3 linked regions of the Ovis aries genome follow. Each later gene encodes a partner of the first gene's protein in a complex. Links are inferred from orthologs where the notes say so. Each region holds a gene or a part of one and is shown in the gene's direction. Other genes may lie near its edges. The genes, in order: PLXNB1, ARHGEF12 and SEMA4D.

Evidence for each region.
Region 2: the proteins of PLXNB1 (region 1) and ARHGEF12 are in contact, whole or in part, in an NMR structure (PDB 2OS6), measured with the Homo sapiens proteins. The link is inferred for Ovis aries from reciprocal best matches to the Homo sapiens genes PLXNB1 and ARHGEF12. Residues at the interface, in NP_001123554.1 of Homo sapiens: Glu2129, Lys2131, Val2132, Thr2133, Asp2134, Leu2135; in NP_056128.1 of Homo sapiens: Phe82, Gly83, Leu84, Thr85, Val86, Ser87, Gly88, Asp89, His127, Val131, Lys135.
Region 3: the proteins of PLXNB1 (region 1) and SEMA4D are in contact, whole or in part, in a crystal structure (PDB 3OL2), measured with the Homo sapiens proteins. The link is inferred for Ovis aries from reciprocal best matches to the Homo sapiens genes PLXNB1 and SEMA4D. Residues at the interface, in NP_001123554.1 of Homo sapiens: Leu80, Pro81, Pro82, Glu87, Arg136, Pro137, Gly138, Asp139, Thr140, Tyr142, Gly178, Glu202, Lys205, Ala207, Gly209, Arg210, Ser212, Glu213, Arg235, Arg242, Asp359, Val360, Asn361, Ser362, Leu367, Pro368, Thr371, Tyr375, Ser379, Asp380; in NP_001358123.1 of Homo sapiens: Glu99, Lys100, Gly101, Phe158, Tyr179, Phe181, Leu182, Gly183, Ser184, Arg198, Tyr201, Ile203, Glu208, Val240, Leu264, Arg265, Thr266, Leu267, Gln268, Lys270, Thr347, Gln350, Ser351, His352, Thr353, Asp388, Gln392, Lys395.

The regions. Positions count from the first base shown.
Region 1 is NC_056072.1:51,461,250-51,468,118, forward strand, and holds the start of PLXNB1 (plexin-B1), read left to right. Parts: upstream 1-2,319; 5' UTR 2,320-2,390; exon of another isoform or gene 2,391-2,438; intron 2,439-2,998; exon of another isoform or gene 2,999-3,085; intron 3,086-3,105; exon of another isoform or gene 3,106-3,244; intron 3,245-6,097; 5' UTR 6,098-6,869. UniProt on the Homo sapiens protein: Receptor for SEMA4D. Plays a role in GABAergic synapse development. Mediates SEMA4A- and SEMA4D-dependent inhibitory synapse development. Plays a role in RHOA activation and subsequent changes of the actin cytoskeleton.
Region 2 is NC_056068.1:30,791,848-30,798,235, forward strand, and holds part of ARHGEF12 (rho guanine nucleotide exchange factor 12), read left to right. Parts: intron 1-197; coding exon 198-431; intron 432-2,624; coding exon 2,625-3,095; intron 3,096-4,284; coding exon 4,285-4,601; intron 4,602-5,724; coding exon 5,725-5,794; intron 5,795-6,388. UniProt on the Homo sapiens protein: May play a role in the regulation of RhoA GTPase by guanine nucleotide-binding alpha-12 (GNA12) and alpha-13 (GNA13). Acts as guanine nucleotide exchange factor (GEF) for RhoA GTPase and may act as GTPase-activating protein (GAP) for GNA12 and GNA13.
Region 3 is NC_056055.1:24,275,652-24,282,522, reverse strand, and holds the start of SEMA4D (semaphorin-4D), read left to right. Parts: upstream 1-2,302; 5' UTR 2,303-2,451; intron 2,452-6,871. UniProt on the Homo sapiens protein: Cell surface receptor for PLXNB1 and PLXNB2 that plays an important role in cell-cell signaling. Regulates GABAergic synapse development. Promotes the development of inhibitory synapses in a PLXNB1-dependent manner.

The DNA.
Region 1 (6,869 bases):
AAGTAATGAAGTGGACTTCCGGGAGTGTGCTCAGCCTGAGTCTGACCTCACCGGCACACATCCTTTGCTTTTTACACTAATTGACATTAACTAGCAAATATTTCTTCTTGCCTGGAGAATCCCAGGGATGGGGGAGCCTGGTGGGCTGCTGTCTGTGGGGTTGCACAGAGTCGGAAACGACTGAAGCGACTTAGCAGCAGCAGCAAATATTTGTGCTCACGTCTTTCAATTAAAACGTCTTTCATTTTTCTTATTTAAAGTAATGTATGTGAGACTGAGTTTTGTCCATTGAACATTCAGATTTGGAACTCGAGGGTAGGGCCTGAAAGTAAGATAATCGCCCCCTATAGTTCCTCTCTCATCTCTTGATCCGGCCCTTGGTTCAAGACCATTTTTGATACACTGGTCCCCCCCTACCCCGCCCCAGGCCTTGATTTTCATTTTGGATTTCCTGGCCTGTCCTCCACTTGTCCAACCCACCTGTGTCGGATGGCCCATGATTTCCAGTAAATAAAACTTGGCTTGGTGGTGACCATGGTAACAGCCTGTTTTGGATCACTTGCTGTGCCATGTTGGAGAGAACTTCCTGGTTCTAACACTGGAGGATTGATCGGAGGAGAGCAGGAACAAGGATTGGGGGAATGGTTGGTAAATACTGCCGGGGACAGAATTACAGGGATTGGCGACCAATCTGGTTCCCTGCTGGAGTGCCACTTAGGCAGGGTGTCATCTCACACACAGCCTAGGGATGGCCTTTCCAGCCTTGGGCAGAGCTCAGCCCACCAGCAGTGTGAGCAGTGAGGCAGTGATGGGGAGGGACCTCTCAGAGGTGGGAGGTACAGTTGGGGGGCATGGAGGCGTACTGCACTGAGAACCCTTGACCTCTTCCTTCTCAGTGGAGAACAGCAGCCTTTGACCTCCTGGGTCAAATGGCCATGGGTGGCCTTGTGTGTCCTTGAGTAAACAGCAGCGAGGAGGTGCTCTGCTTGCACTGTGGGTCTGAAGAACCCACCCTCCTTTCAGGACCCAATGAGGTGGGTCAGCAGGTTGAGTAGAGCTGATGCACAGCAGAGGCATGTGGATGCAGAAATGCTTCCATGAGATCCCGCCCTTCTTGGGAGCCTGTGCTCAGCCCTGGCCAGTGGCCCCATGGGTACAGCGAACCTCCGATCGTCTGGTCACTCCATCCGTGGCCTTCTTTTCTTTTTGTAATGATTCCTTCGGAGGGTGTGGGATGAAATGACCTCTATACTTGGGATGTTCATCCTCCTGGTGGGGTAGGAGATACCATATCTGTCTATAGATGAGGGGTGTTGTGGGGTTTGGAAATCCTAGGTCCTAAACCTAGGTAGGTGAGGTGGGTCCTAAAGGGTGTGCACTTGAGTGAATGGGTCTGGGGAGGGGAGGGGTCCAGGTACTTGGAAGGGCCACCCAACACCCCCAACAAGCTGCACAGAAAGGCAAGGCAAAGGTGGCTGAGGGCCTTGGGGCACACCAGCTTGAATGAGGTGGTGATTGGTGTGGAGCATAAGTTTAGAGAATGACGTGGGGGACCCAGAAGGCAAGATAGCACCTGGGGTCTGTGAAATCCAGAGACAGAACTGGCACAGACAGGGTGCTGAACCCTGGACCCAGATATTGGAAGATTGGTTGGAGGTCCGGGGAGCAAGCCGAGGTGCTGGTGAGGGACAACTTGGAAGGCAGAGTCCTGTGAGAGTGAAGGCACACTGATGGGTGGAAGGTGGGAAGAGGGTGCCTGAAGTTTAGCTCTTTACACAGCAGCCAGTGTGGATGATGTAAACCTGATTGAGGTCCCCCTCAAGCCTTGCAGAGGCCCTGGGAGCTTTCAGGGTGTGTGACCAATTTTGCCTCCCAGGCGGCTGTCCCAGTGGCTGAGAGCCAAAACCCTGCGGAAGTCCTAATAGGATGGACCAAGTGCTGGCTCCTGAGTTTGCAGGGAGCCAAGCCTGAAGGGCCCTGCAGAGGGCACACCTGGGCCTCAGGAGAGAACCCAGGTGTGCCTTTGGAAGGGTGACGTATTTACCGGTGAGGGAGTCTAGACTTGCCCACGGCTTCTCAGCTTGGGGCGGGTCCAGGTACAGGTTTGGGAGGAAATGCGCCCTAGCTTGTGCACGTTTGCAGCGGTGGGCCCAACTCTCCCAGCCCGGCTAGGTGTGGCATCACCTCCACTTGACGGTGAGCAAACAAGCATGTGTGTTTAGGGGGCAGGGGTCAGGTTTCTTGGCTCAGTGATGGCGCAAACCCAGGCCCAACCCCAAAGCCAGCGCTCTTCCCGCACAGCCAGAGGTGGGGGCCGGAAGGAGAGCTTGGCCGTTTGAGAGTCCCAGGAGTAGGACCGGTGGGCAGAAACCAGGCGCCCCGGAGTTCAGGTAAAGAAAGTTGGAGGAGGATGGCCACAGGAGCCAGGTACTGGGCAGGTAAGAGGGAGCTCGGGGGCCCCGGAGAGCGGGGGAGGTGGTTGGCGGGGCAGGTGAGGGGCGTGAGTCCCACCGGGCGCTGGCAGGCAGGCAGGCGGAGGTCCGGGCGAAGCACCACCACACGTCGGGGTGCAGAGCGCGACCCCCAGCCCCCAGCCCCCGCCGTCCGGCCCCTCCCGTGCCGGAGGGCTCCCAATTTCGGCTCCAGCGAGGCGCGCAGGTGAGGCCCGGCGGGGACTGGGCCGGGTGGGGCAGCAGGTCCCGCGGCTCGGCTCTGCGCGCTCCTCCCGCCGCCATCCGCGTTGCCTTGGCAACCGCCGGGGTGCAGCCCTTCTCCCCTCCCCTGCCCCCACCGTCCGCCCCCTAGCGAGCGAGGGGTCGAGTCCCCCGCCCTCGGCAAGTGCAGAGCCGGGAGGGCTGGAATGCGGGGTCCCGGGCGGCTCGGGGCCGCGCGCCCGGCTCTCCCGGCTGCTTCCGGCCTGGCCTGGGCTGCGGGCGGGGGGAGGGCGGCCCGGCGGGCGCGGGGGGGGGGAAGGAGCGGAGCCGGGCCCGGCCGACGCGGCTTTGTCTCCTTTGTTCCCGGCGGTGGCAGCGCCGCTGCGGGCGGGGCGGGCGGCGGGCGCAGTTTTCCGCCCCTCGGTCTCCGGGTAACAGCTGCGACTCCGCCAGACCCACCTCCGGGAGGTGGCGGAGCGGGGGGGGGGTGGCGAGCAGGGGACGGGGGAGGCCGCCGCGCGCGCAGATCCCGAACCCGGAGCGGCCGGCGCCCGCCTCGGCGCGCTCGTCCCGCGGGGCCCGGCCGGGTGGTGAGTGCGGGGCCCGGGGCCGGGCGGTGGGGCCGGGGCGACGCGTCCCCGGGGTGGACGGGCCTGGAGCCGCGATGCCGCCGGGCCGACGCGGCCCGGGGTGAGTGGTGGGCGGCTTCAATCCTGAGAGTTGGGACCACACTTCTCCGCGCGAAGGGAAACTCTGTCGGCTCCGCCTGTAACGCGATTGGGAGACAGAGGAGGTGGAGCCGCTCCTCCGCGCCCCCTCCTCGCCGCCGCCGCCTCAGCCGGGGACCGGCCGGCCTCTTCCCCGCCCTCCCAGGACCACTGGGGGGGTCCTTGCCCTGGTCGGGGAGGAGGGAGGAGGGTCGGGGAAGAGCAACAGGGAGGTCCAGGCTTCCCCTCCGCAGTAACAGCCCTTCCAGGCGGTACTCGGCGCGACTGACAAAAGGCAGACTGGGATTCCCCCCGCCACGCACCCCCAGAGGGGGAGCCCCCCACCCCGCACCCAGACGGTGGGTGATTGATGAGCGCTCGTTGAGTCCTCACTGGTAAATGGTGCCCCCCACCCCGCCCCTACCCCGGCTCAACACAGACAACAGGGCAGGCACTCTCCACTCTGATGCTGTCAATGAGTAACTTCTGGGTGCACCCTGGGAGCCCAGCGAGAAGGCCATAAGGAAAGGCCGGTTTCACACCAATCCCGGCGACTCCGGTGAAGAGGGCTGGGATAGGAACATTCTCCCAGTTTCAAGGGCAGAGTTTATATGCCCTTTTGGTTGGCCAGGACAGCCCCAGGTCCAGGAGACTGGTTGTTCTTTGCAGGCAGAAGTTAGGCAGCCTTGGGTCCTGCTGAATCGGTCCAGAGTTGGGGGGCCCAGAAGAGCTAGGCTTTGACTGTAGTTGGGGCTTGAGATGTGGAGGGTGGAGGAGAGATCTTATTTGTATAAGTTGGGAACTGGAGGCCCAGCTCCAAAGCACCCTTTTCAGTCTGCTCTGGCCTAGTCATTAATAAAAGTGGGGCTGACAACTGTGTCCTTCGAGAAGCTGAGTGGCTTGGAGTGGGTTGTGGGTTCCGCATCTCCCCTGCTGGCTGAGTTTTATTGGCTGTGAAATGAGGGTTCTTTTTATCATTTGAGGAGCACCTGCTCCGTGCTAACGTCTGTCCCGCTTACTGGGGCCTCTGAATTAGAAGTCACATTCTTTGCCTTTAAGGAATTTCAGGATAGGAGCGTGGAACAGGGAGAAAAGTGGCCTTGGTTGGTGCCTCGCGTGCCAGGCACACACCACATCACGTTGAACGATCAGAGCAATCCTGCCTCCCATTCTCCAGATGGGAAATCTGAGGCTCAGAGACCCCAAGGCAGAGCTGCAATGTACACCAGGGTGGTGGCTGGGGATGCCCACCAGTCACACGCGGTGGGCTTCTCAGGAGCCTGGGGGACAGTGAGGGCTTCTCTGGGAGGTGATGGTTGGGTACCTCATGTAATAGGGAGTGAGCGTGGGGGAGTGTGATGAGCAGTCTGCAGTTCGGCCTGGCAGGAACGAAGAGCATGTGTGGGGGAGCCCTGGCAAGGATCCCGCAGGAGAGCGTGTGGACGGGAGGGCTTGACCTTTATCCTCCGGGCCCCGGGGGGTGCCTCCAAAGATGCTGGAGAGAGGGACATCCTCTGAGGTGGGAGGAGGTGCACTGGAGGGGCCAGAGGCTGTCTGTGACCAAGGTGAAGTGAAATATGTGACCGATAAGGAGAAAAATGTCACCACCCTTCTTTCCTTCCCACCCGTGGTATGTGGGGAAGGGCGAGGGTGGCTCGGCCCCGTGGCAGTGATTGAAGAAGGCTGACACTTTCCCCAGCGGGGGTCAGCCTCCAGCCTTCGATGTGACTTTGCCAGAAGCTGTTTGGGTCCTGCCCATTGGCTTCCTGTGGGCCACTCGACCCAGTTGTGATTTTACATGTAGGGAGTGCCTTGGTGGCTGCCCCTTGAGGGTTGGAGAACTCTGGCATGAAGTCCGCGCTGAGCAAATGTTTGTAATCGAATGGTGGGGCAGACCCTCTGCCCAAGGCGTGTCCCTGGGAGGGAGGCGGTGGGAGGGGCCGAGCAGTAGCTGAGTGTAGCAGCCGGCCTTTGCCCATCCTCAGGCAGACCCCATCTTCCTGGGGGAAGAAACTTTCCCCACTGTGCCTTGGATACAAGGTGGGGGGCTCCTGGGAAGCCTGGCCTTGCCATAGTCCTGGGCTTCTCGCCGGGTTCACGGCTCTCCCTGCCGCCCCCCTCCCCCTGCCCCCTCGGTGGCAAACAGTGGCTGCCTTGTTCCCGCTCCCATAGAGCTGTCCTGTTCTCTGCACACTAAAAATGGAAACCCCCAAGCTATTTTGGGAGCAGTGCCCAGCCAGGCTGTGGCCACAGCTCCTCGCTGGACCTTCCTGCAAGCCTTACGCCCAGCCCTGCTCCCTCTGGGCCAGCCTCAGGAGCACCCAGCTGGGGGGGGCCTCGGCTGGGAGGAGTCAACCTGGACCCTGGGAAGCTGTTGGAGGAGCACTGTGCACCGGCAGACTGGCAGCCGGGTGGCAGGAGGGGCCGGGCCATGTGGCCTGGACACAAACAAGCAGGGAGAACATCTCACAGCTTGGGATGCGCTGCCGGTCCCCAGCGCTTTGCCTACCCTGGTGCTCCAGGCTGGAGACCAGCCAGGTTTTAGCAAGGTGGTGGCATGGTTTCCTGGTCTCCCCAGGCTTCAGGTGGAGTCTGCAGGGAGAGGGTCTGTGAGGAGAGCAGGCCCTCAAGGTATGGGAAGTTTCAGGGGATGTGGGGTACTCATCAGTGACTTCCTCTAGGACGCCCCACCCCTGCCCCCACCCCCTCCACCTCCCACTCTGCTCTGACCTGCAGGAGAGGAAATAGCAAGAGATGATGGCCTGGCTTCCAGAGCCCTCGAGGACTTAGGGCTCGAACCAGGGAAGTGTGTGTGATCTGTCTGTGTGGGGTCTGGATGTGGCTGCTGGTGTGTGTGTCTTGGGTGGGTGGGTGGGTGAGTGTGCCTGTGTGGGGTGTGCTTCCGGGTATGTGTCTCTGGCTTGTATGTACAGGCGGTGGGTGCATGCATCCCGGTGTGTGCTCACGCCCATGTGTCTGGGTGTTGGTGTGTGCATGCAGGGTGGGTGGTGTGTATACTTCTTGGTGTGTCCAAACATGAGGGTGCTCATGTGCTGGTGGCAGCCTGGGGCAAGGCTTGGCCTGGGCCTGTGAGCAGGGCATGTACCTGGGCATCCTGAGGGCAGAGTTTGGGCAGAGGGCAAGGATGGGAGATGCTGAGGGCGGGCTGTAGGGGGGAATAGGACCACAGTGGGGGCCAGACTGGGCCCACCAGCCACGCAGCTCCTCCATAGCTGCCCTTTCCCAGGCTCCGAGGATGCCTGGTTCCGCTGCCCTCCCCCTCCATGGGCTCCGAGGAGGCGTCCCCTGTGGAATGTGTTTGGTGGCCGAGGGCCAGGCTGGGCCCAGCTCCACTAGCAGACTGGGCAGTGGGGAGGGGTACCTTTGTGCTGCCTCCATGGTGGGGGGCCCACGTGCCTACTGCCCAGCCCCCAGCTCCATGCTCTGCTCTCTCCCCGGCTAGGTGGCTCCCGCTCAGGGCATGCCGTTGTCTCCTGATCCAGCCGGC
Region 2 (6,388 bases), on another chromosome or scaffold:
GCATCTGCTGTTCACTTTAACAGACTTAGCTCATGCACCTTCTGTGTGCCATCATAATGCCACACTAAGTGCATGCGTTTTACTTTGTGGACAATCTCTGTAGCTTATGCGGTTATTTTTTTCCAAATATTTTTCTGGGTGCTTCACATTAAAAGTTTTGCTAAGATGTATTCTACTTTCTCTGTTCCATTGAACAGACAGAGATTTGGGATTAGAGTCTCCTTTAATGTCATCAAAACCTCAGTCTCATTCGCTGGGTACCTCTGGGAAGTCGGAAGTAGATGACCTCTTTGTGGCTGAGAGACAGTTTGCAAAGGAGCAGCATGCAGACGGGACACTAAAGGAAGTTGGAGTGAATTATCAAATCATAATCCCAGATCCACACTTGCCTGTCTCAGAAGAACGGTGGGCACTGGATGCACTAAGGAATTGTAAGTTCTATTCATACATTAACACAGATAGACTTATTAAGCACCAGAGTTCTATAATGTATTATGCAACCATTTAGGGAGAGTCAAGAAAGTATAAACTATGAATTTTCCCTTCAAGAATCTTGCAGTCTAGTTTGGAAGATGACAGAAAACTTTCCCCTACCTTCTTAAGTAGATAAGCTTTATAGGTATGTCAGAATTGATCTGGTTTGAGTGACCAGGGAAGGGAGGCATTAGAAAACAAGAGGGCTGTGATTACTGCCTTGAAGAATGGGTAAGACTCAAAATAGGTATTTATTAATAGGAGAATAAATAGAAGTCATTCAGATAAGAAGAATGGTAGGACCAAAAGCAAAAAGGCTAAACCTCTGAGGGTGTTCAGAGCGCGGTGGGTAGGGCAGCTGGCCTGTGTGGGAGACCACACAAGCTAAAGGAGCTGTGGGGCAAGGTTAGAAAGCTGGAGGACACTTTGTGGAGCCCAGCTGTTGTGGACCCTGAAGACTAGATTGAAGGGCGGCACACCACAGGGTTCTGAGGACTGTTTCAAGCTCCAGATATTCTTCTGTTTTTCTTGTGGATACTGTAGTGTTCTTCACCACAGCCCATTCTTCTCACACACACGCACACACACGCACACACACGCACACACGTGCATGACTGGATGCCCCTTGCCACTCTCTTAGCTATCCCCCCACCTTTCCAGCCTGGTTGAGAACCACTGGTACAGACAGGAGTGCATCACATGTCTCAGGTGTACCAGAGGAAGGGGAAAAGGCTGCTGCAGAGAAAGAACCATTTGAAGTTTTTAAGCTGGAGTATATGTATTCGTAATGAAAAAGAATACTCTGGCCGAGAGCTGCAGAGGGATTTGAATGGAAAGAGGATTGGTGTGGTCTGGGCTTGAGGCTAAATGGGTTTGGACTAGAATGGTGGAATGGTGTTAGAGAAATGAAAATGAAGTGAGGAACCAACAAATACTTAAAACAGTTGACTTCTTTGGATGTGAGGACAAAGGAAAGGGAATATTTAGAGATAATTTTAGTTTTCTTGTCAGAAATAAAAATTAGAAAGGACTGCCACTGCCCACTGCGACACTTTATTTTCTCCTTCTTTCCTTTGCCATAGATTGTGGGCTCAATTTTAAAACATGTTGAGATGTAAGTAATGAATGGCAAGCCGTTTAAGAGGAAGGATGAGCAGGAGGTTGGAATTTTAAGACGGGAATTTTGGAGGAGGTTGGGGAGAAAGATGGCTCTGAGTGTCAAAGCCATATGAATTCATAGCATCTCTCAGGGAGTGACTGCAGAACAGAGAGACAGAGGGTCAAAGACCCAAACCCGTGTGGAGACTTTATTTAAAGGGAAGACAGAAATCAAGGTAGTTGAAAGTAGGGAATTGGTCCAGTCATTTAAGACTTACTTTATTCTAGACTCATTGAGTTAACAGTGGTAATGATTTCTGATGGTTTCACTAACAGTGTTCCACTGACCCTCTCATTGAGTGGCCTCACATCATACACTGGCCCATTTAAAATTAAATTGGTTCTGTTTTTAGCAACCTAAGGAAGCTGTGTTACTTAGGTCATTTTTAAAAACGAATAAATATTTCCTTATCCTTTGAAATTATGCATGGTACCAAACATTGGAATTAAATTTACAGGCCAGCTTTGTTTTCTTTGTCACCATTTAAGGAGATTCTTTGGGTTATTATAGATGATAAAATAAATGTTCTGTGTCTCTAATAAAATTAGAAAAAATGCCTATGTAAATAGTGTGGGCTTCTGGAAAAAGCAGAACTTTTAGATTCTTTTGTTTAGGTTAATACAGCTTTTCTACATCCCTTTAAGAAGTACCTTGGGGGTGGTATTCCAGTTATATGGAAGAAAAAGAGGAGGCAGGCATGGTATTGGTTATTTAACAGTTTTAAATAGGAGAATAATAGGAAAATCTCCATTGAGAATTCTTCAGTTTTTTTTTTTTTTTTTGTCTAATTTAATCTTAAATTTTCTCTAGATGGTGTTTTATTTCATTTTTCAAACCAAACAAAAAATGATTGTGTGAAATTAATGTTTTCTATTGTATGTTAGTAAAAAGGTACTGGCTTTAAGAGAGAAATTATAATTCCTCTAATTTAATTCTGTCTGTCTGAGGTTATGTGAATGCATGTGTTCTCCCCACTTCCTAAATCTTCTAGTGGGTTTGTTGAAGCAGCTGCTGGTACACCAGCTGGGCTTGACTGAGAAGAGCACTCAGGAAGACTGGCCACATTTTCCAAGATGCAGGACAGCCTCTCTGGGGGTGCAGGCAGACAGTGGAACCCAGAACCCTGAAAATATTAAGGCCTGTCATCCTGTTGAAGCACAGATGCCCTTTAGAACTGGAACTGGTGACATTTCAACTTGTTACAGTCCACGGACTTCAACTGAATCTTCTGCTCCACGGGATTCAGTAGTACTGGCATTCCAAGAGAGCCAGGCAAGTGACATTTTAGTAATGGACCACATGATTATGACCCCAGAGATGCCTCCCTCAGAGCCAGAAGGGGGTCTTGATGAGAGTGGAGAGCACTTTTTTGATGCCCGTGAAGCACATAGTGATGATAATCCATCAGAAGGTGATGGAGCAGTTAAAAAGGAAGAGAAGGATGTTAATTTGCGCATCTCAGGCAAGTTCCTTTCACATTTAAACTTTGATTTCGATCGTCGTTATTTGTCCTATGTGCTGAAATCGATGTTGCTTGGATATCCAAGCGTTATCTCATGTATGTGTCTGTGTGTCTGTGTATAGTGTCTGTTCTTTCATGCAGTAAATACTGTCTCTACTCTATGCTGGACCCCATCCTAGGTCCCGGGAGATGTAACAGTGAATAAAACACAGAAAAATCCACTTTTCTCATGAAGCTTCACCACCACTTGGGGAAAGAGTAATAGTAAATAAGTTACCAAATAAATAGATGTCAGATAGTAAGGATGATACAGAAAAATAAGTCATACTGAGGGGCGCAGACAGTAAGGATAACGGACAGGGTGGTCAGGGAAGAAGGCCTCTCATGAGGTAGCACTTGAGCAGAGACCCAGGGGAAGGGAAGGGAAGGAAGACGCTGTGTGGGTGTCCAGGAGTAGAGTGTTCCAACAGAGGAGGTGAGCACACAGTCTGCAAGGCCAGAGCAGGCATTCTGTGGTTAAAGAGCACAGGCTGTGGGAGGAAATGGTGAGAGATGAGGCCAGGTAGGTATTTGACAGGGAAAGTGGTCATAAGATCATATAGGGACTTGGTAGTTTTCAGCTTTTAACTTGCAAAATGCTAGCAAACATGAAGTTATTCCGGAATTACCAGGAGTGTTTGCTAAGTGTAGCTTTAATCTGAAGTAAGAAAATTCTGATGTCCTGAAAATGTAACTTGGAATTTGGAACTTAATGGCCTTTCCCCCTCTTTAATAGCTTTGAAGCTATTTCAGATGTTAAAGAATCCTCTGGCAATGCAGGAGACCCCAGTTCGATTCCTGAGTCAGAAAGCTCTGCTAGAGAAGGGATAGGCTACCCACTCCAGTATTCTTGGGCTTTTCTAGTGGCTCAGCTGGTAAAGAATTTGCCTGCAATTCGGGCCACCTAGGTTCGATCCCTGGGTTTGGAAGACTCCCTGGAGAAGGAAAAGGCTACCCACTCCAGTATTCTGACCTGGAGAATTCTATGGACTGTATAGTTCATGGGGTTGCAATGAGTCAGACACGACTGAGCGACTTTCACTTTCACTTTTCAATAGCTTTTAAAGGTGTCAGCACATCACCCCACATTATTTTCCGATGTGTTGGAGGTGGTACTAACCTCTTTAACCTGTCCTGTCTCTGTCTGTAGGAACCTATCTGATCCTTGATGGCTATGACCCGGTGCAGGAGAGCTCCACAGACGACGAGGTTGCTTCCTCGTTCCCCCTTCAGCCCGGGGCAGGCATCCCCTCTCTGGACTCTGGACACCAGCAGCAGCCTTCTCCCCAGAATGCTCATTCTGATGGGGCTGTTTCACCATTCACCCCAGAATTCCTGGTCCAGCAGCGCTGGGGAACTATGGAGGATTCCTGTTTTGAGATCCAGAGTCCCTCTGCTTGTGCTGATTCACAAAGCCAGATCATGGAGTACATTCGTAAAATAGAGGCTGACCTTGAACACTTAAAGGTACCTCGGACTTCATCCTTAGGAGTCGGATATAAGAAACACATTTAACAGAGAGGAAGTGTAGAATGATCGACATGCTGATGTCAGTAACCTCGCTGAGGGTCTAGGTTTGTGTGTTGTCTCTGACCATTGTCTGTGAGTAGACCTGGATGAAAAACTAAGGTCAGCATTGTTTTACCTGGTTACACATCATAAGAACAGAAAAAGTTGTACTCTATAAACTGTGTGTGTATGGCTTTCAAAGTTTAAGGACCTGAATACATTTGGGATGATTGGCTGACCTCCATGAGAAAATGTGAGCAATAAGCTGAGATAGGTGGAGTTTGTGTAGTTAGGAATCTAGGCTGGGAAATGCCTTAACTTGCCATCACCTATTAATTATCTGTGAATTGTAGCGTGATGTTGATAGTTTCCCAGATGCTGTGACAGAGAGACACTGTCTCCAGTGGCTCCAGTGGTAATCTAAAGACCTGCCTATGAGTAGGGGTTCTGTAAATGGGCAATTGAAGATGTCACTGTGTGAGCCATCACTGCAGAGCTGACCTGTGTGGTCCTTTCTGACAACAGGACTCTGTAAGTTTGCCATCTGTAGGCATAGGTACCAGAGCCCAGATGTTTTGTCATGACATTACTTAGTAGAGGTTTTGGGGGCAGAGTTCAGAGTGTTCTTAGTCTCTTAGCTAAAGATTGGTTTCCCTTAGTTTTTCTTTCACCTTCCTGTGATAGGTTTTCCTTCCTTTGTAGGGTTACATGTAGGGATGTCCTGCGGCTGGTAAGATTCTCAGAGGCCATCGAGGGCACATTGGCTCTAACTTAGTTCATGCCACATATGGGATCATTTTAAGGGTGACTCCAGGGCAGGAGGGAATAATCACTTCTAATAGTTGCTCTCTCCTCTACTTTCTTCTGCATGGGAACATTTTAAGGTATTCACTCAAGGGAGAAGCAGGTAAAAGGAAATGAAATTTACTTCTTTTTTTTCCTATTAACAAAAATTTTAAGGACGTTAATGTTAAATTTGACAGCTTAGACCTGTAATATACAAAAGCCTTCATTCCTATTTTCAAAATAAAGGTTTTTTTTTTAATGATTGAATGAAAAACCTGTGGGTTTTATTTTACAGAAGGTGGAGGAAAGTTACACCATTCTTTGCCAAAGGCTGGCTGGATCAGCCCTCACAGACAAGCACTCAGGTGTGTGAATGCTGTGGGTTTCTGACTCAAGAATCATCCTGCCTGAACAGTCCATTGAATGAAATGATTTATGAAAGTGAAAACCTTGTGAGATTCTATTTCATCTCTTGTCTCTGAAAAAAAAAAAAAAACAAAGACACCTGTTTCCGAACATCATGCATCAAGCAGAGGCCACCGTCTGCTGACTCGGCTCTTCCTCTCGAAGAAGAGCTGCAGTTGTCAGTCCCCATGGCACCTGTGTTCTGTCTTTCTTCCCGTTTGCAAAAGCAGAAGGCAGAGCTGCAGTGAGGGGAGTAAACTGAGGCCGCGTAGCGGTGGAAGCAGGCCCTGCTCGGGTCCTGCTGTGCTTTCCTGTCTCCCGGGGACCACAGATGGTTCCCGTGTTCAGTGCAGCAGTCTGTGCTCACTTGCCTTCATTCTTTTGAATGAGGCTATTCCGATCCAGAAACAAAGGTGTTAACAAGGTCCACAGGTTTCACCTGGTAGCTCAGAGGTTAAAGCGTCTGCCTGCAATGCGGGAGACCCGGGTTCGATCCCTGGGTTGGGAAGATTCCCCTGGAGAAGGAAATGGCAACCCACTCCAATATTCGTGCC
Region 3 (6,871 bases), on another chromosome or scaffold:
TTAAAGACAATGTGGAATGATCTAATGGCTGGAAAAGGTTCCAGGGGTCATCCCTACTGCAGGCCCCCTCCAGCAATTTCCTGCAGTGGCCCCAGAACCTGTCTAGACACTGGCCTTGTAGGACATGGTCCTCCAGGGGTGGCCGGCTCCTCTGGCAGGCAGGTCTGCCAGAAAGCATTCACAAGTGGGACGAAATCGACTCTCTAGTCTAATTTCCACCCATCTGTCCTCGTTCTGCCCTTCATAACCCCACAGGGTAATCCTTCTTCCCAGACAGTTTTGCAAATATTTGGATTCCGCCGTCTTGTGCTCTGCACACTGATCTTCCAGACTGAAGGTTCCACGTGTGTCAACTACCGTCCCATGGCCTGCTGGTGGCTGTCCTTAGATCCCAAGCAAGGGAACTGTATTCTAGACGTGTCAGACTAGTAAAGAACACAAGACAGCCCCCTGCCCCTGTATTTGCAATACTTACTTTTATCCATCTTAAGAATGGGTTCCTTCTTGGGGCCTGGGATGCTGTTAAAACATCTCTTCCCATCAGGTTTTAATCCAAATAGGATGCGGGAACACAGATTCACAGACTTCTTCCACAGGTGGAGAGCTTGGAAGGTACACCTCCCCTGTGTCTTTCTCGTAAAAATCTCCAGCTATGAATGTGGGGCACGTGGTGCTGGTGGCCTTACCTGAGATTCTCTCCTCCATGCTCTGCAATCCTTAGAGAGGGTGAGACAGGGCTCACAAGGTCACCTGGAAGCATCAGAGCCAAGACTCAAACTGGAGCCTATCAGATTCCAGGTCATGTTTCCCCCCTACAGAGGGAGAGGGGGTAAACTCCTGCCCACCCTACCTTCACCCTTTGCACTAGCTTCGCCATCTTAGTTTTGCTGGCACAGTGTTGGCACACTGGCACTAAGGTGTGCCTATGGCAGCCTCAGCATGGAAAGAGAGGAGTCCCCTGAAGAGAGTGAGGCTCTCAGTCCCGTTATTGATCATTTAGGAATGGCTTCATTTTAAAACTCTCACTCTGGTTACCAGCAGCTCCTGGGCATCAGGAAAGTGACCTCAGGTGAGCTGGGAGGGTTCCTGCAGCCTGGGGTCTACAGCCAAGACTGGAGGCAGAGCACCATGACTCTTAACCAGCTAGTTCGTGGCTCAATCATGTTTGACTCTCTGCGACCCCATGAAGTATAGCCTGCCAGGCTTCTCTGTCCATGGGATTCTCCAGGCAAGAATACTGGAGTGGGTAGCCATTCCCTTCTCCAAGGATCTTTTCCACCCAGGGATCAAACCTGGATCTCCCACATTGCAGGCAGATGCTTTACCGTCTGAGCTACCAGAGAAGCCCTGACTCCTACACTACACCCAAGGAAAGCCTGGCTGGTTCATTGGGAACTGCATTCCTTTCTCCGGACAGCGTCCCTCAGCACGCCTAGTGGCCAGATCAACCACCTTCTCAGGCCTGTTGCTTCTTCCTCCAGGGCCAGAGGATTTGGAGCAGTCTTCGGAGGGCACCTAGTTCTCAAACCTGTGGGTTAGTGTAAACGTGTGTCACCAGGGATGATCAAATGGTGAACACTTAACAAAGAGTTGGCATGGGGGCAAACAGAAGGGGTGCAGCAAAACCTGGATTGGTACCTACCCACCTCACCCTGGGGAAGTGGCAGAAGGCTTGGTTTGAAATGTTCTTATCCAAATTAGATTTGCTTAGAAGCAAAGGAGCAAGCGTCCTCAGAGCCCACATGCTTTTTCCACCCATTGGGCAGGTCAGGTCCCCAGTAGAACAGCATCAGAACCTGGGAGTTCGCAAAACCTTGGAGATTTGGAGGAGGGTGGAGGCTCGAGAGGGTGAGGTCAGGTCAGGCTCCCAGAAGGGGCAATGCTCCATTAGCAGGTGGTGAGGAGGGGGTAACTGCACAGGTCATCAGAACGTGTGTTGGACCCAGCAGAGGCCTGGCCAGGGCAGAGGTTAGCCTTTGGGGGCTTGGGGGTTAGGGGAAGAGGTGGAAGGTGGGGAAGGAAGAGGTCAGAGGGAAAGAGTGGAGATGGAAGGTGGCAGGGGTGGGTGGAGATGGAGGGAGTGGAGGAGTGCAGGAAGGTGAAGAAAGGGGAGGGAAAAGGGGAGGGACGGAGCGGGTAGGGGATGAGAAGTAGGGCGGGGAGCCGGCCGGCGAGGAGGAGGAGGCAGGAGAAGAGGGGGAAGGGAAGCGAGAGGAGGCGGGAAGGGGAGGAGGGGAGCGGAGGAGGGGCCTGAGCGCAGCCCCGCGCCCTCCCTCCCGCGCCGGCCTCCGCGCCCTCCCTCGTCGCAGCATCCCCGAGTCGCCTGGCCGCGCCGCCCCTCCGCGCCGGGCCTCCGAGCCGGTCGCCTCCGCCTCCGCCGCCGCCATTCCTGCGCCCGCGCTCGCCTGGCCCGGCACCGCGGGGCCGCGCGGCCAGGACACGCCGCGCCAGGTAAGGGCTGGCGGGTAGAGGGCGGGCGCGGGCGGTGCAGGTGCGCGGGGGCGGCGAGACCCTCCCCCAATCGGCCGCCGGAGCCTCGGCTCCGAAGCCCCCTGACTCCTCCCGGGACCCCCGGGGCCTCCCCGGAGCCCCCTTCCCGGAGCTCCATGACTTCTCCCCAGACCCTTGAGTCCCGTCCTAGGACCCCCCCAGGACCCCTCCCCTCCTTGGCTGCCTTCCTGTCCCGGCGCGCAGGTGGCTCGGCAACGCTCGGGGCTCGGGCGCGCGGCAGACCCTGGCCCGGGGCGGGGGCGGTGTGTTCTGCCTGACCCGGGGCTCCTGTCCGCTCGGCCCCCGCCCCACTCCGGCCATTCAGGCCTGGCCCGGCCCCGCGGCTTCTATTTCTGTCGGCGGGGCCGCGGCCCCCGGGGCGCTAGACCCCGAGCCGCGCACTCAGACAGGTGGGGCAGGTCGGGGCCCTGGCAGTGAGTGTTGCAGGCCTCGGCTTCCTTTTGGGTTTTGGCTGCGTGATTCTAGAATAGCCAAGGAGAATCAGCAGCCTTAGCTCAGGGCTGCACCTGTTGCAGCCGCCTGGTGAACTGCAGGAGGCTGAATCCACTGGGGTTTTGCCAGTGCAGGCGGTGGAAAGGAGGGTTGGGTCGTGGTGGTCCCCTTCGTTTTATTTCATTTAGTATCGGAGATGGGGTTGTGTGGGCGTCTGGAGGTGGGCAGTTCACCAAAAACGAGGCCTGTGGTCTAGGGCAAGGGTCCCTGATTTCTGGAGCGCGTTTGCTATGCAAAGTTGTTCAGCTTTTGATTTGAAAACCACCACTTATGTTAAGCACATCCAGGACTTATGGACTGTGGCCAAGTGGCTGGCCCCCCCATTCTGAGTCTGTTCAGATCCACTAGGCGCCACCGAGCGGAAGTTTCCTTTCCAAGGGTGAAGTGACATCGGTAGCCTGTCAGCTCATACCTGCCCCAGGCCTGGGGCCTGCCTTCTGGCTGCCTGGGCGCTGTATTTTGGGAATGTTTACTGTGTCCCAGAAACAGGCTGCCTCAGTCAGTGCTGGGGCCAGGATTCTGGCCGAGATAATGCCACGATTGTCACTTGAACGGTTGGTGTCTGTGCACATCGTCTGCAAGAATAAAGAAGAATAAAACAGACCTGCTCGGAGTACTCCAGGCAACCAGTCCTACCAGGGGGAAAGTCTGCAGGGATGAGGGGATGGTGAAGGGATTCACTGGGGCATTTCTGGGGACAAAGACTCTCCCCACCAAGAGGCTAGACCTTCAGATTGCAAAGGGAAAAAAAAAGTTTGTATTATGAACAGCGGGTAAACCAAATAAAGAAAGAAAAATTGCTGACACTGAGAGGCAACCCAGCCCTGGTCTACTCTTGAGCCATGTTATAGGACCATGAGCTGGCATTCGAGAGGTACTGGCTCTCTATGATTGCTGGAAAATGCAGCGTTACCCCTGTGCTGGTAACTGGGGTGCTCGGACAGCCTTCTTTGGGGTCCTGGCAGGTGGTGCATCCACCTCAGCTCAGGAGTGGGGTGCAGGGCCGCGCTGCACAGCTGTCCAGTGGGTCTGGGGCCAGGGAGATGACCATGATGACATCATTCACTCGTGACCCAGTCCCTGTGGGTTAGCCAAGGCAGGTTTCATCTCAAGCGGCTTCCCCCCTCACCAGGCAGGGATGTCTAGGCCAGTCTCGGGAGCGCACACTAACGGCTGGCTCTGAGTGAGGGGGGAGGACCATCGCTGGTGCCAGCACATAGCGAAATCAATAATGTGTTGCAGAGATCAATGGTTTTTTCATTGGTCCTCTGTGCTTCCAAAGAGAACCTGCCTCTCCCACACTGAGCATGGACAGTTTCAGGCCTCCCACCCCTCCCTCTGGGTTCTGTTTCTGGTGTGTGGGGGGGAAATGGGTGTGGCCAGGAGCCTCTTCCTGATCCCTTGTGTGGTGAGCCTGGGGCTCCTGGATTGGCAAATGGGCCCCGGGTCCCCTCCCACCACCAGGCGTCCCCTTTAGGCCCCTGCTGTTGCATAAGTGTATTGGTTTCCCGATTGTTCCTTAATTCACAGTGACCTTCCCCTCATGCTAACAGTTTGTTCAAAAGAACTGAGAAGGTGATGTGGCAAGTAGTGTGTCCCAGTGCCCCTGTGCCCCCGGCCCCCATCCCCAGTCTCTTCTGGGAGTGATAACAGTGACCAAGTTAACCATCCAGGCCTGCAGGGGGGCCATGGGGTGAAGCTGGCCATGTAAAAATACACAAATGAATTTGCCATCAACTGACTGTCGAGGGTGGCTGCAGGAAGAAAGACTGCTGTCCTTTGTGGGGCTTGGCAGGTCTAGTCTCCCCTGCTCCACCTGTGCCTCTGGGGCTCTTGGCCATTCAGGGATGTCTCCGGACGTCACCCGAGAGTGGGCCGGTCGGGCAGGCTTCTCTGCACTGGAGACTCAGCACAGCTCGTGCACATTGCAGCCTGCCTGCTGTCCAAAGGTGATGGAGAGAAGTGCAGATTTATTGCTGCTGCTGCTACTGCTGCTGCTAAGTCGCTTCAGTCGTGTCCGACTCTGTGTGACCTCATAGACAGCAGCCCACCAGGCTCCCCCGTCCCTGGGATTCTCCAGGCAAGAACACTGGAGTGGGTTGCCATTTCCTTCTCCAATGCATGAAAGTGAAAAGTGAAAGTGAATTCGCTCAGTCGTGTCCAACGCTTTGCGACCCCATGGACTGCAGCCCACCAGGCTCCTCCGTCCATGGAATTTTCCAGGCAAGAGTACTGGAGTGGGGTGCCATTGCCTTCTCCAAGAGATTTATTAGGAGAAAATATCTGCTGATTCAGTCAAGTGGAGATAGCACGTGAGTGGGCCTTGCCTGGAGCTGGGCTGGCATTGTTCAGTGCACCAATTAAGGTGATCTTTGGGATAAGCAAATTGGCTCATCACAACTCCTTGGAGTGGCTCACTTTCAGTTGCCTGTCCCTTCCTGAGTGCATGGTCATTTACCTGGCGGTATTGTACCTGGACCAGGCATCATAGCAGCCCAGGAGTCGTTCCCCCATAGCTGCCTTCCAGCATGCCCTGTGATCCGCCAGTAGGACTGGGTCCTTTATTTGGTCTAAAAGTCTCAGCTGCTCTCTATGAAAGTAGAGACTTCACCCCTTCCCCAGGTCACTTCTATGTGTTACTCGGGACTGCAGCTTTGAACGAAGTGCAGTTAACCAGCATTTGAGCCAAAAATCATTCCTTTAAAAAATGATGGTGTTTAAAGAGATAGTTGGGTGTTTGTTGAGTGAACAATGATTTTAAAAGATAATTATATTCCTTAACAACGGTATTGTGGTTATGTTCACACAGTCTTTACCCTTTAGCTGTAGATGCTGGAGTGATCTGCAGAGGAAGCGAGAGCTGTTTTAGATTAGCATGGGTGGGGGATGGGTTGGGTGATGGAGGGAGCGGCATTGACCACTGTTGAACGGTTATTAGCTCTGGGTGATGGTACCTGAGGGTTTGTTAGTCTCCTCAGTCTTTATCTTTAGTCTTTAAAAGTCTTATCATAAAATAGTTAATGATCTAAGAATTCCATTTCCCCCTCTCAAATGCCATAGGATCCTTCACTTCATGGAATTGTTGAGGTTTACTTTAAAAGCAGTGCTGATGAGTTAAGTGAAAACATTGCTCTTTAGTGTAGACTGCATAGAGTGATCCTATTTACACATGTATAGGTAATAAAGTGTAGAAGCATCTGGAATGACACACGCTGTGTGTCAAGCAGACGATGATAGAGCGCCCTTGGTGGATGAGGAGGGCAGGTGCTGCTCCAGACTCTAGGGACACAGCTCCGAGCAAGAGTGGCTGTCAGGCTGGTGACTGGGATGGGAGGGAAGGATATATGTGTGCGTGTGAGTTGTGTGTGCTTGGGTGTTGGCAGAGGGTTGAGAAGGGTGTGGAAGGAAGGAGGAAGGGGAATCTATCCTTTTAATCCCTCACCTATTTCCATGTAGTTTGTTTCTTTTACAGTGGGATTGTTTTTGTAATGATAAAATGTATTTGTAAGAAGGGATCGCCATTAGGGAATGTGCTTAGTGGCTCAGTCCTGTCGGATTCTTTGCGACCCCATGGCCTGTAGCCCACCAGGCTCCTCTGTCCATGAGAATTCTCCAGGCAAGAACACTGGAGTGGGTTGCCATGCCCTCCTTCAGGGGATCTTCCCAACCCAGGGATTGAACCCAGGTCTCCTGCGTTGCAGGTGGATCCTTTAGCATCTGAGCCGCCAGGGAAGCCCGTAGGGAATAGAATAACCTGGGTTTTTTGCAATATTTATTTATTTAGCTGCATGGGCCCTTAGCTGTGGTACTTGGGACCTTCGATCTTCATTGTGGCGTGCAGGTTCTTTAGTTTCGGCATGTGGAATCT